Linked DNA regions of Caenorhabditis elegans. The protein of the gene in region 1 interacts with the protein of each later gene in a pairwise test. Each region holds a gene or a part of one and is shown in the gene's direction. Other genes may lie near its edges.

The links. The genes of interacting proteins can lie anywhere in the genome.
Region 2: the proteins of rbr-2 (region 1) and W03F9.2 interact in a two-hybrid assay, tested with the Caenorhabditis elegans proteins (one large-scale study listed by BioGRID).

Annotation. Positions count from the first base shown.
Region 1 is NC_003282.8:10,918,263-10,926,134, forward strand, and holds the start of rbr-2 (Lysine-specific demethylase rbr-2), read left to right. Parts: upstream 1-1,807; 5' UTR 1,808-1,844; coding exon 1,845-1,988; intron 1,989-2,031; coding exon of another isoform or gene 2,032-2,038; coding exon 2,039-2,170; intron 2,171-2,429; coding exon 2,430-2,866; intron 2,867-3,094; coding exon 3,095-3,282; intron 3,283-3,331; coding exon 3,332-5,342; intron 5,343-5,505; coding exon 5,506-5,693; intron 5,694-5,739; coding exon 5,740-6,035; intron 6,036-6,466; coding exon 6,467-7,122; intron 7,123-7,167; coding exon 7,168-7,466; intron 7,467-7,845; coding exon 7,846-7,872. UniProt on the Caenorhabditis elegans protein: Histone demethylase that specifically demethylates 'Lys-4' of histone H3, thereby playing a central role in histone code. Does not demethylate histone H3 'Lys-9', H3 'Lys-27', H3 'Lys-36', H3 'Lys-79' or H4 'Lys-20'.
Region 2 is NC_003283.11:126,500-130,174, reverse strand, and holds W03F9.2 (C2H2-type domain-containing protein), read left to right. Parts: upstream 1-2,140; 5' UTR 2,141-2,223; coding exon 2,224-2,280; intron 2,281-2,322; exon of another isoform or gene 2,323-2,336; coding exon 2,337-2,394; intron 2,395-2,444; coding exon 2,445-2,707; intron 2,708-2,753; coding exon 2,754-3,086; 3' UTR 3,087-3,175; downstream 3,176-3,675. Other genes in the region: sftb-2 (PSP proline-rich domain-containing protein), read right to left, coding at 822-1,599, 1,648-1,938; W03F9.1 (Zinc finger protein ZPR1 homolog), read left to right, coding at 3,526-3,546, 3,597-3,675.

The DNA of each region.
Region 1 (7,872 bases):
GTTTTTTGAAAAATTCAGTCAGATGGACACTGATATCTTCTCGGAATACAGTAATCTTTGTGTGAAAAAGTTATATATTTTATTAACGATTTATCTTAGAAAAATTGTTAACTGTCAAACGAATGCTCTGAACATCTGAAAATCGTGCACTGTTCAATATGTTACACATTTTCGCTTTAAGTTCCGCGTTCAGCCTCACTTTCTAACCACGTCTGTGATTACACGTCTTCAGCGTTCGGTCATAAACTTCTGATTCTCCCTCCGTTTCGTCTATTTGTCGTAAGAATGTGTGTAGTCGTGTGAAACAAGTCTTTTTCGCCCTTTCGTTTTTAATCAGCTTCTTCACACGCAGACAGCTGATTCTGCTTTTGCAGTTATAATCTATGTCTTCTCATTCTCTCGCGCGCAACCATCGTTTATTTCAAAACGGGCGCATAATAACTTTTTAATGAGTTTGATTTAGTTTTGAAAAATAATATTCACATTCCTTAGAAACTATGGAGATTCACAATTCGGCGAAATCAGTTTCTACATATTACTGTGTACTTTTTACAACTTCTATGATTTTAAAGTGGCGAGTTTATGCGGAATGGTCTCGCCACGCTCTGCGATTTTTTTTTCAGAAATCTGGTATGTGCGCCTTTAAGATTACTGTAGAGGGTTTGCTGGCAAATCTCCAATTTTCTCGTTTCTCCCTTTTCTTCATTTTCGATTGTTCTTTTCCCAATTTTCTGTATTTTATGTAATTAGACATGCCAGAAAAATCTCTACAGTCATCTTAAAGGCGCACACGCCAATTTTTTCATGAGTTCGCAGTGCGTGGCGAGACCATTCCGCATTGATACGCCTCCCTTTAAAACCGTAGTAAACAAACACAGTCTCAAATCTTCAATTAAAAATGCTGGCTCTCGGAGCCATAATTCCATGTTCTCTTTTTCTCTCAGTCTGTGTTCATTTTACATGCGTCTTCCTGCTTTCTCTTCGTTTTCTTTGTGTGCGCCCATCTTTCCTCAGCTGCTGGCCTCAAAAAAAAGTTAGTGCAAAAATTCACGTATTACTAGGAGGCACATGCGAGAACGCGTCGCGCACATAACATGAATAAAGTGTGATTGGGCAGGAGACCGAGAGATTATTGCTAGCGAATAGCATGCAAACAGAGGAGTGACAAGACGACGAGAGTGGACACTCGAGAGTAATGTTCGGCGGAGCGCACTTTCCTCGATTTTCGTGGGCCGACCCTGGTGGGCGCTGGGGGCTATTTCCTCTCGGTTTTTCGATTTTATCTATATTTTTTTCTGTTTCTCCGCTTATCTTTACCGCACGCAATTTCTGACGAAAAGGACACCGACCTACTGCAAAGTGGTCAAAGAATACCAGTCTCTCAATGCATTTTAGGTGACACATCAAAAAGATTCAGAGAGATGGAGTTTTCAATGATTTGAGTTACTATACGATGCCTTACGTGTCTTGACCTACATTTAAAACTCTACCAAAGATCCTTGTCTAAACTTTGAAAAGCTGCTCGACCTCAAAAATTGGAGAAATATATATATTTAAATATGAGTCATTTTTCAGCTTAATTATTTATACAATATTAAGTTCAAATCAAAAGCTTAATAAGAAAAAGCTTAAAAGCCAATTTTAAAGGAGTATAAGCTAATTTTCATTTCCGGGTTTCTATGACGTCTATCATAACACTCGTGATGCATCTTGTTTCATCACATGGAAATTTCTCGTCGGTACTTAAAATGTTCTTCTTCTCAAAGCTTTTAATTTCAATTAATATTAAAGTCAAACAAAAATGAAATTTACAGATCTCATGAAGCTATAAGCCAAACTGAAAAATGCGTGCACGTCGTCAAGAGAACAGTATCTCGACGCCGTCAGCACCGTCGACGAGCACTTCTCCGCGGAAGAAAGCATCCATCGGAAATTCAAGATCTAAGAATCATGGAAGCAAAATGGAAATGTACGATCAATTCTATAAGGTTTGATTACTAAGACATACATAAGGTGAATAAGCTTTCATAGTTTTCAGAAATTCGTACGACCTCCAATGGCTCCAATTTACTACCCGACAGAAGAAGAGTTCTCAGATCCAATCGAGTATGTTGCCAAAATACGACACGAGGCCGAAAAATTTGGAGTTGTTAAAATTGTTCCGCCGGCGGTAAGTTATTTATTCGGAAAATTGTACGTCTGACGTTTAACAAGTTTTTAATCGTTTTTGAAAAGTCTGAAAAAAAGCGAAACAATGTTTGTAGTAGTTTAAAAACTTCTACTACTCCCTTCAATTAAATACTAAATATTAGAAAATTTTCAGTTTACTAAAAGAATGGTCACCACTTGAAAAGTGCAATTTTATCTGAAAATTTTTGATTTTTCCCTCAAAAAACGAATCGAGAAGCATCAACTCTCTTTTTTTGCAGAATTTCAAACCACCGTTTGCTATCGACAAAGAAGCCTTTACATTTCGTCCCCGAACTCAAAAACTGAATGAAGTGGAGGCAATTGTCAAAGAGAAACACACATTTATTGACCGATTAATCAATTTCAATCGATATTCTGGTCTAACTTTTGAGTTTCCAGTGGATCGAGATGGAAATATTGTCGATTTGTATCGATTACATCGTATAGTTCAAAACTTTGGAGGATGTGAAGAAGTGAATGAAGATGAAAAATGGAGAGACGTTGCCCGCGAATACCTTCCAAAGGAGCAAATGGCTCGCGGTGTTCCGTCGGCTTTCATAAATTTGATTCGATCACATTATAATTTGCACATTGAACCATTTAATCGAAATTTGAAAGAAAAAGCGATGAAAAATGATGATGAAAGTGATGATGAAATGGAAGAATTAAAGCATAAGTGAGTAATTAAGAAATTTAAATAAATAAAAATCTACAAATCAGTTAAGAAAACATAATGTAGATGGATTTTTTTGAAATTATATGCATTTTAAATTTTTCTTATGTACCCATGTTTTTGTTTTTTAGAACCATGAAAAAATGTTAAAACCGATAAATAGTAAAATTTTTAATTTTGTTATTAATAATTTCCCCCATTATTCTAATTAAAAACGAATGAATTTCATAGATATCAACATCACCACGGAACTATGCGGACAGAAATAGAAGTTCCAAATGATAAAACTACTGAAGGAGGGGAAGATGAGTGTCCAGTGTCGATGCAAAGTGGTCGACGGAGATCTAAAAATAAGAAGGCTTCATCTTCAAGAAAGACTCTTGGAACATCTTCAAAGAAGAATTCAACCAGAGGAAGAAGTTCGTTTTTTAAATTTAAATTTTTTAAATTTATTTTCACAAATTACAGAAAATAAGAAGAAAGCCGAAGGAGACGATGATGATGATGAAGATCCAATGGATCAAGTATTCTGCGTTGCTTGTAATGAAGGAAAGGATGAAGATCTACTACTTCTTTGCGATATTGATGGATGCAATAATGGTCGTCATACATATTGTTGTGATCCAGTACTCGATGAAGTACCAGAAGGCGAGTGGAGATGTCCAAAGTGCATTGAATCAGAGGATGCAAAAATCGGATTAGACTGGGGATTTTATGATGCGGACACAGAATACAATCTGAACTCATTCACTGAATTTGCCAACAAATGGAAATGTGATTATTTCGGTGTAAAAGATGTATCACAAGTGTCGTGTGATGCTGTGGAACGATCATTCTGGAAGAATGTAATTTCACACGAAAATCCAGTTTCTGTCAAATACGGTGCCGACTTGATTACGAGTCGAGTAGGAAGTGGATTTCCTCGAAAAGAAGATAAGCACACTGGCCCAGATCTGAAGCTGAAGCAGCAATACGCTTCACATGCATGGAATCTGAACAATATGCCTGTACTTCGAGAATCTGTTCTCTCACATTTTAATACTGGAATTTCTGGAATGATGGTACCGTGGGTCTATGTTGGTATGTGCTTCTCGACGTTCTGCTGGCACACCGAAGATCATTGGACGTATTCTGTTAACTATAATCATTTTGGAGAACGGAAAATTTGGTACGGTGTTGGTGGAGAAGATGCTGAAAAGTTTGAAGATGCATTGAAGAAAATAGCACCTGGATTAACTGGAAGACAAAGAGATCTATTCCATCATATGACTACAGCTGCAAATCCTCATCTTCTTCGTTCATTGGGAGTTCCAATTCATTCAGTTCACCAGAATGCTGGTGAATTCGTCATTACATTCCCACGTGCTTATCATGCTGGTTTCAATGAGGGACTCAACTTTGCGGAAGCTGTCAATTTCGCTCCAATTGATTGGCTATCAAAAGGTCGAGAATGCGTTGAGTCTTACTCAAATGTACGAAGATATCTTGTATTTTCTCATGATGAGCTTCTCTTTAAAATGGTTGAAGCAATGGATAAACTTGGAATTTCGATGAGTTTAGCAACACATGAAGAACTGATAAGAATATATGAAAAACAAAAAATGTTGAGAGAACTTCTCGCTCGCCTCGGAGTTTCCAATCGCCAAATGCAGCAAGTGATGTTCGAAAAGATTCCAGATGAACAAAGATCGTGTCGTTTTTGTAAGACGACTCTCTTCATGTGTGCATTGGTTTGTAACAAACACAAGAAAATGACTTGTGTTGAACATCATGATCATCTTTGCAATTCGTGTACAACGAAAGACTACAGATATCAGTACAGATTCGAGTTGGATCAATTGAACAATATGTGTGATGAACTTGGAAAGCGTACGGTTAACTACAATGGATGGAAAGAAGAGTCGGATGAGATGCTTGAAGAAGAAGGAAAACCAAAACTCGAGAGAATTGAAGAGTTTATAGATTCTGCCAAACAAAACAAGTATCCACAGACAGATCAAGTTCATAAATTGATAACAATTCGTCATACAGCCAAGAGTGCCATTGAAAAAGCAAATCAATTGCTCTTTAAGAAAGTACGAACGCGAACAAAAACCCGATGTCAGAGAGCCGACACTCGTACAGACACCGAGGGAGTACGGTCATTGATTGAACAAATGCAAGCCATGGATTGCAATTTGACTGTTATTATTGATAAACTTGAGAAATGGATGGAACAAGTTGAAATGTGGAGAAACAGAGCAAAAGATGCTATCTATCGAGAACAAGAATACTCAAAAGAAGAAATCGAGAAGATTATTGAAGAGGGAGATGAATATGATATTAAATTGGAAGAAATCGATGAGTTGCGAAAAGTTATTCAAATGAAGGATTGGTCGGATAGAGCAAGAAAAGTTACTACATGGAAGGCAACTCCCGATATGGAGAAAGATATTGATTTTGAGTATAAGCTTCGATATGCATCCAGTGATATTTTATCGTAAGATTTTAAAAATATTTTTTCTCTTAAAAGGAAATTTGTGTTTGTGGATTTTTCCTCGAATGGGCTCGGCCCAAAACGACCGAATTTCATGATGAGACCTTAAAAATATTTCCAAATACTCTATACCCCTTTAATTCAAAAATTCAATTATATGTTTCAGATTGATTCGTGATAGTCCACGAAATCCCACAGATGGTACTTCTAAACTCGTCTTTGAACTTCAACAAATGCTCCGTGACGCCAATACACTCGAGGTCATTGCAAACAATTTCTGTGAGAATCCAGCACTTGATCAGCTTCAATCAATTTGGCAAAGCCTTAGAGAAACTGATTGGTTCTATGAAAAATGTTTGTTATTTAATGCATTAGTAATTCTTACAAAATAATTTTTAAGATATTAACATGGTTCGCTATGAGATCATTCATGTTGCCAAAATCAAGTCAATGATAGATGCCGCAATTCCCGTGCTATCAGAATTTGATTTAAAAACACAACTGCAGAAAATTGTCAATGTTGAAATTACACTATCGAAGGCGGCCGAAATCAGTAAAGCATTCGAAACTTCAAAATGTCTAAACGGTTCCGAAGAGCATCTCGGGATTTTGGATATGATCAGCACAATGAATGCATTTACTCAGAGGATAGCTATTCTGTTCAAGCCAAATAATGCGTATCACAATCTTTTTGAAGTGAGTGAGATTCGTGAAATTTGACGATTTTTCGCAAAAAATACGGTACCCGGTCTCGACACGACAATTTTAGTTAAATACAAACGAATGTGCGCCTTTAAAGATTACTGTAGCTTCATAATTTCGTTACTGCGGAATTTTCATAGATTTTTCATAGTTTTCGTTATAAATTTATTTATTTAATAAAAAACTATGTTGAAATAATTAAAAACATGAGACAAATACTAAGAAAAAAAAAGAAAAATCAAGGAAAATTTCGCAGAACCAAAAATTTGAAATTACAGTATCTTTAAAGGCGCGCACCTTTTTAAATTAAACGAAAAAATTTCGTGTCGAGACCGGTGACCGTATATTTGGGTAACATTAATCCAATCAGGAAGTAGCATAGACATTAGCTTCGATCTAATTTGCCTTAAACTTGAATTTTCCAGATTCTCTCCGAACGCGATGATTTAACTCCACTTGCTGAAGGACAAACGATACCATTATATTTTCAAGGAGGCGCAGTACATCCATCTGATGAATGGCATCAAATGAAAGAATTCGAGTCATTAGATCAAATTGTGCATCATCAATCATCGCTACGTGAAATGCAAATGAGAATTTTTGAAAAGGTGAAACAAGCAAATTCAGCTCGTGGTCTTGAAGCATGCTCATGTCTTGGATTCAACAAATCAGATGATTCCGAATCAACACTGACATGCATAATGTGCGATTCAGAGTTTCATGTTCGATGTTGCGAGTGGTCACCGTTCCTTGAAAAACTTCCAGAAGGATGCTTTTTATGTGTTCGATGTCTACGGGGACAACGTCCAGTCATTGATGATGTAACAACTGCTCTGAATGGAACACCTTCTGGATGTTTGGAAACACATCTTGTTCGAAATCTAATACAAAAAACTCGTGGAATCACTCAAAATTTGATGGAAGCTGCTAATAAACGGAAATCAGGAGAATCCAGCGACGATATTTGTAAAATTGCCTTATTCGATTGGCTATCGTGTGAAATTCTGAATCCCAATGGTCTTCCGAAGGCACGCGAGCTGATTTCAGAATTTTATATGGAATATCTTCAAAAACAGTCAAGGTTTGTACACATTATATGTATTAATTTTATTTTTAATTTTTTCAGCGCCGCACTAGAACTCAAAAATCGCCCGGTTCGTTCAAAACCATCGGTATCACTCTTCGATCCAAAAATCACAGCTAAACGCAAAAGGCCAAGTGTTTCACACAAAGAGACGTCGAAAAAATCACGCAAACGTCAAAGTCAAGCATCACCCAGTGAATATTACGAAGACGAGTCTGAATTCAAGTCGTGTCAAGCTCGCGCCTGTTTGAAGCCATATGGAGACTCAGTGAACTGGGTGATGTGTGAAGCAGGCTGCAAAAACTGGTTCCATGTGATTTGTCTTGGATTCACTCTGAGAGGTAAATTAAGATCGGGTTTTGTGGTTTTTTGGAAAAAAAATTTAATTGTAAGGAGAAAAAAAAACGAACCTTTGTTTTGTGACAGACCTGATCTCAAAAAAAAACTTTGTGCCAAAAATACGGTACCCGGTCTCGACACGACAATTTTTGTGAAACACAAACGGGTGTGCGCCTTCAAAAAGTATACTGTAGTTACCAACTCTCGTTTCTGTGGGATTTCATTGTCGTAAAACTTTAAAAAATTTTAAAAACTTCCGCGTTTTTATTTACTCTTTAAAGGCACACAACTTTTTTGCAAGTAAAAAAAATTGCCGTGTCGAGACCGGCTACCATATTTGTTCAATTTTGCGTATTTGCTAATTTAACAATTTTTTTTCAGAAATTAATGACATGCACGAGTACCGTT
Region 2 (3,675 bases), on another chromosome or scaffold:
TTTTTCCATTTTTACGGCTTTAAAGTTGTAGTCGAAATTTTTTATTGCTTTATTAGACTCGAAATCGTTTAAACTACCGAATTTCATAAGCACACTTTTTTAAAACCTCAAAAAAAGTTATGGTGGCTCAAAAAATGACCTACAATCCGTTAAAATTGAAAATTTAACCAACTTTTCAATGTGGCATCTCCCAAAATTTACCAAAACTTGTTTTTTTTTTGAGTTTTTAATTGATAAATTTGGAAAAATTGATCAAAATATAGCACCTCGCATTAAACATTAATTTGTCGTGTCGAGACCCAGTATCGTATTTTTTGCTTGAAAATCGTGAAAGAAGTTATTTTTTATTTTTCTAAATTTGATTTCATAATTTTTTCAACCAAAACCAAATTTTTTCTGAATTTTCAGACATTTTTTTTTCGTAAAATGTATTTACTGAACATAAAATTGTCAAGTTTGTCTTAATTTCTTTCAGGATAACATGTTTTTGCGAAAAAAATATCTGAAAATTTCATAATAATTTTTTTTGGCAGAATTTATGAATATTTGTGTGTTAAATTATGCGAAGAAAATTTTTTATCAAAAGAAAATTATTTATCATTTTGCAAAAATTTGGCGCTTAAAGCGGGTCTCGCCACGATCTCAGTTCTTGTGGTCGGTACAGGTGCAAAAATTCACAGATTTGTTAATTTTACGTTGAAAATGAAATTTAGCAGGCAATTTTCTAGGTTTTTGGTAATTTTATGTTGAAATGTAAAATTTTTCATAATGTTTTTTAGATTTCTGCTCTAAAATAGTACATCCAGAACATTTTACCGTACCAGGAATCGGCGCATTCAATCCAGGAATCTTAATATGCGGAAAACTGGGCGGTGGTCCGTAACGTTGCATCGCAATCAACCATGGCGGTGGAAACTTGAACGCATTCGATCCGATGGGCATTCCCAGTGCAATTCTAAGCTCATCCGACATTTCACCCGGCTTCTTGTCTCTCATCATCGCCTCCATCTCTTTTCCTTCATAGTAGAGCTCGCCCATTTTTGTCATAGCCGGCTTGGTTTGCCATTTGAAGAACGCGTCGTGAAGTTTTTGATAATCAATATCGATTTTTCCAAGCTTCGGGCGGGCCCGCTCTCTCATTTTTGATTTAAGGCTCTGGCTTTCTTCTTTTTCCAGCAGCGCTTCTCTCATATCCTGAATTCCGGTTCTTTTAATAAAATCTGGCAACTCAAATGGTGGCCGTTCGAATCCTCGCTTTCCGGCGAGATATTTACGCTTTGCATTCCAATGGCGTGGAACTGGAACTGAATTTCTATAAGATTTCATTGCGACAAGGAGATACGGATCACGAGAAGTCACATCGGCCCATTCAACAACATCGGCTCGAAGTGTCGTCTCTTTAAGCTTTGCAATACTCGGTTGAAGAGAAATTCGGAGTTTTCTACGCGAAAGCTTCTCCTCTGTGTTTTCTTTGGCACGTTCTTCCATCTCCTCTTGAATAATTCGCTCGGCCTGACCGACTTTTCCCAAATCATCCTTTTTCTCGCCTTTGGAAACGTGATGGCCGTAGGAGAAGCCGTCTTCTGAGTCGGTGGAGATCTGGAAGCCGATATATTGGAAAAACATTAACAAATAGTGATATGTTACCTTAAAAGCATCAAAAATTGCGGAAAAGTATTGAGCGTGCGGGTTATCCGGCTCAATTTCAATTGTTTCACCGATATAATCGATTTCCACGTCAAGATCGTCACCATTTTCCTCCTCTTTTTTCGGCTCCTCTCGTGTTTCTATTTCAGCTTGCTTCGTGGCTTTTGCTCTCTTCTTCGATTCCTTCTTCTTTTTGCTTTTCTGCTGTTTTCTCTTCAACTCCTGAAGCTCCTTTTTAGATAGGTTCTTGTTAGCCTCATCGTCTGAATTGTAGTCATCCTCGCCTGACATCTGAAAAAGGAAAACATTTAGTTGAAAATTGAAAAGTTTTCAATGAGGAAAAGAGGTTTTTAACCGCAAAAACGTTGAAAAATCTAAAAATTCGCAAAAAAAATTTAATTCGAAGAGTACGCAATGGGTCGGTGTTTGCGTACCAAACACTGAAACCGACGCCAAATACTCTCCGTCTCTCATTTTTGCACACTGTTTTATCATTGAATTTTCTCTTTTTTTTTTAAATTTTTTTAAAGCTTTATAATGCTTTAAAAAGATTAAAAACAGAAAATTCAGGTTGAAATGACAGAGCCATCTACATCAGGAGCCCAAGACCATGACGATTATCTAGTCACTCTCGTGAGTTGCAAATAAGCTGAGAAATACTGCCATTTTTTATAGATTTCTTTTTTCAGAGCTCCCCTCAACGCCAGTGCACCATCCGAGTTGTTCAGCCAGCTTCTGCATTAAAACGTGATTATTTATAAATATTATTTGTGAAATTAATTTTTTTTAACCTTCAGGAAAACTCCCAACTTCATCAGTTCCCGAATTCAATCCAGACTCCTACGGGGAATCGATTCCCGAAAATGCTCCAAGGCCTGTCTGCGAAACCTGCTCCGTGGCCTGGTCAACATGGGCGGCATACGAGTTCCACATGCTCCAGACTCATATAATATACCGCCCGTTTCGATGCTCTGGATGCCGGAACTTGAATTTTCACACCGAAGATGAAGGAAAGCACCACCTGGAACATTTTCATGGTGGCAAACCTGGCAGTTTTCAGGTGAAATTTAGTATTGCGTTTTATATTTTATTTAATTAATTTTTAGCTCATCAAACAGACGGATTTTGCAAAGGAAAATCAGTTGATCGAATGTCTGGAAAATGCAAAAACCACCGAGCAACTCGGAATTTCGAAAGAACGACTTGAAAATGGGCTGAAAATGATTGAAAAACTTCAAAAAATCAAGTTTAAAGCTGTGAAAGTGCATCTTCCATGCTGTCTTCGCCATGAAATGATCTCAAAACACACAGAAACTGAAAAAGAAGCGCCGCCACAAGAAAAATCGGTTACAAATGCTCAAAAGCCCGGCAATCCAGCACTTCTGTCTCTGGAATCCCGAAACTACGACTACGAGCAACAAGATACTGTTGGAATTTGATAAAAATGAAATATTCATTCGATTTTCCGTCAATAAAACTTCATCACAAGATTTTTATTCGTTTTTTGAAATAAAAATAAAATACAGATTTTAGCGCAGACATTTAATGTTTTATTCATTTTTCTCAGTTTCTTCTGCTACTTTGGAAGCGCTTTTTTTGCGAAAAAGCTTCAGTGACACAAGATAGGAAGGCTTTACAAGAATGTGTACTGAATTCTAATTATTAAAAAATTTTATAATTAAAAACCGCGAGGCACAACGCGAAATGAAGAGGCGCAGGCGTTTGTCCGCAAACACCGTCACGCAACTTTGCAGACTTGAATTTTTTTTGTTTTTCTTTTCCAGATTTTTCCAGTTTTTTCCAGATTTCTCTCTAAAATTAATACTTTAAAGCAGATAATTTTCGATTTTAATCAACAAATTCATTTTTTAAAGTAAAATGGCTGCGGATTCTCAAGATGTAAGTGTTTTTGCTAGAATTTACGGCACAATTTCCTAAATATTTTTCAGATCTACAGAAACTTGTCAGCAGATGACTATGAGGCTGCTCCAATTGTTGTTGATAGTGTCTGCCCGGTGTGCGAAGAAG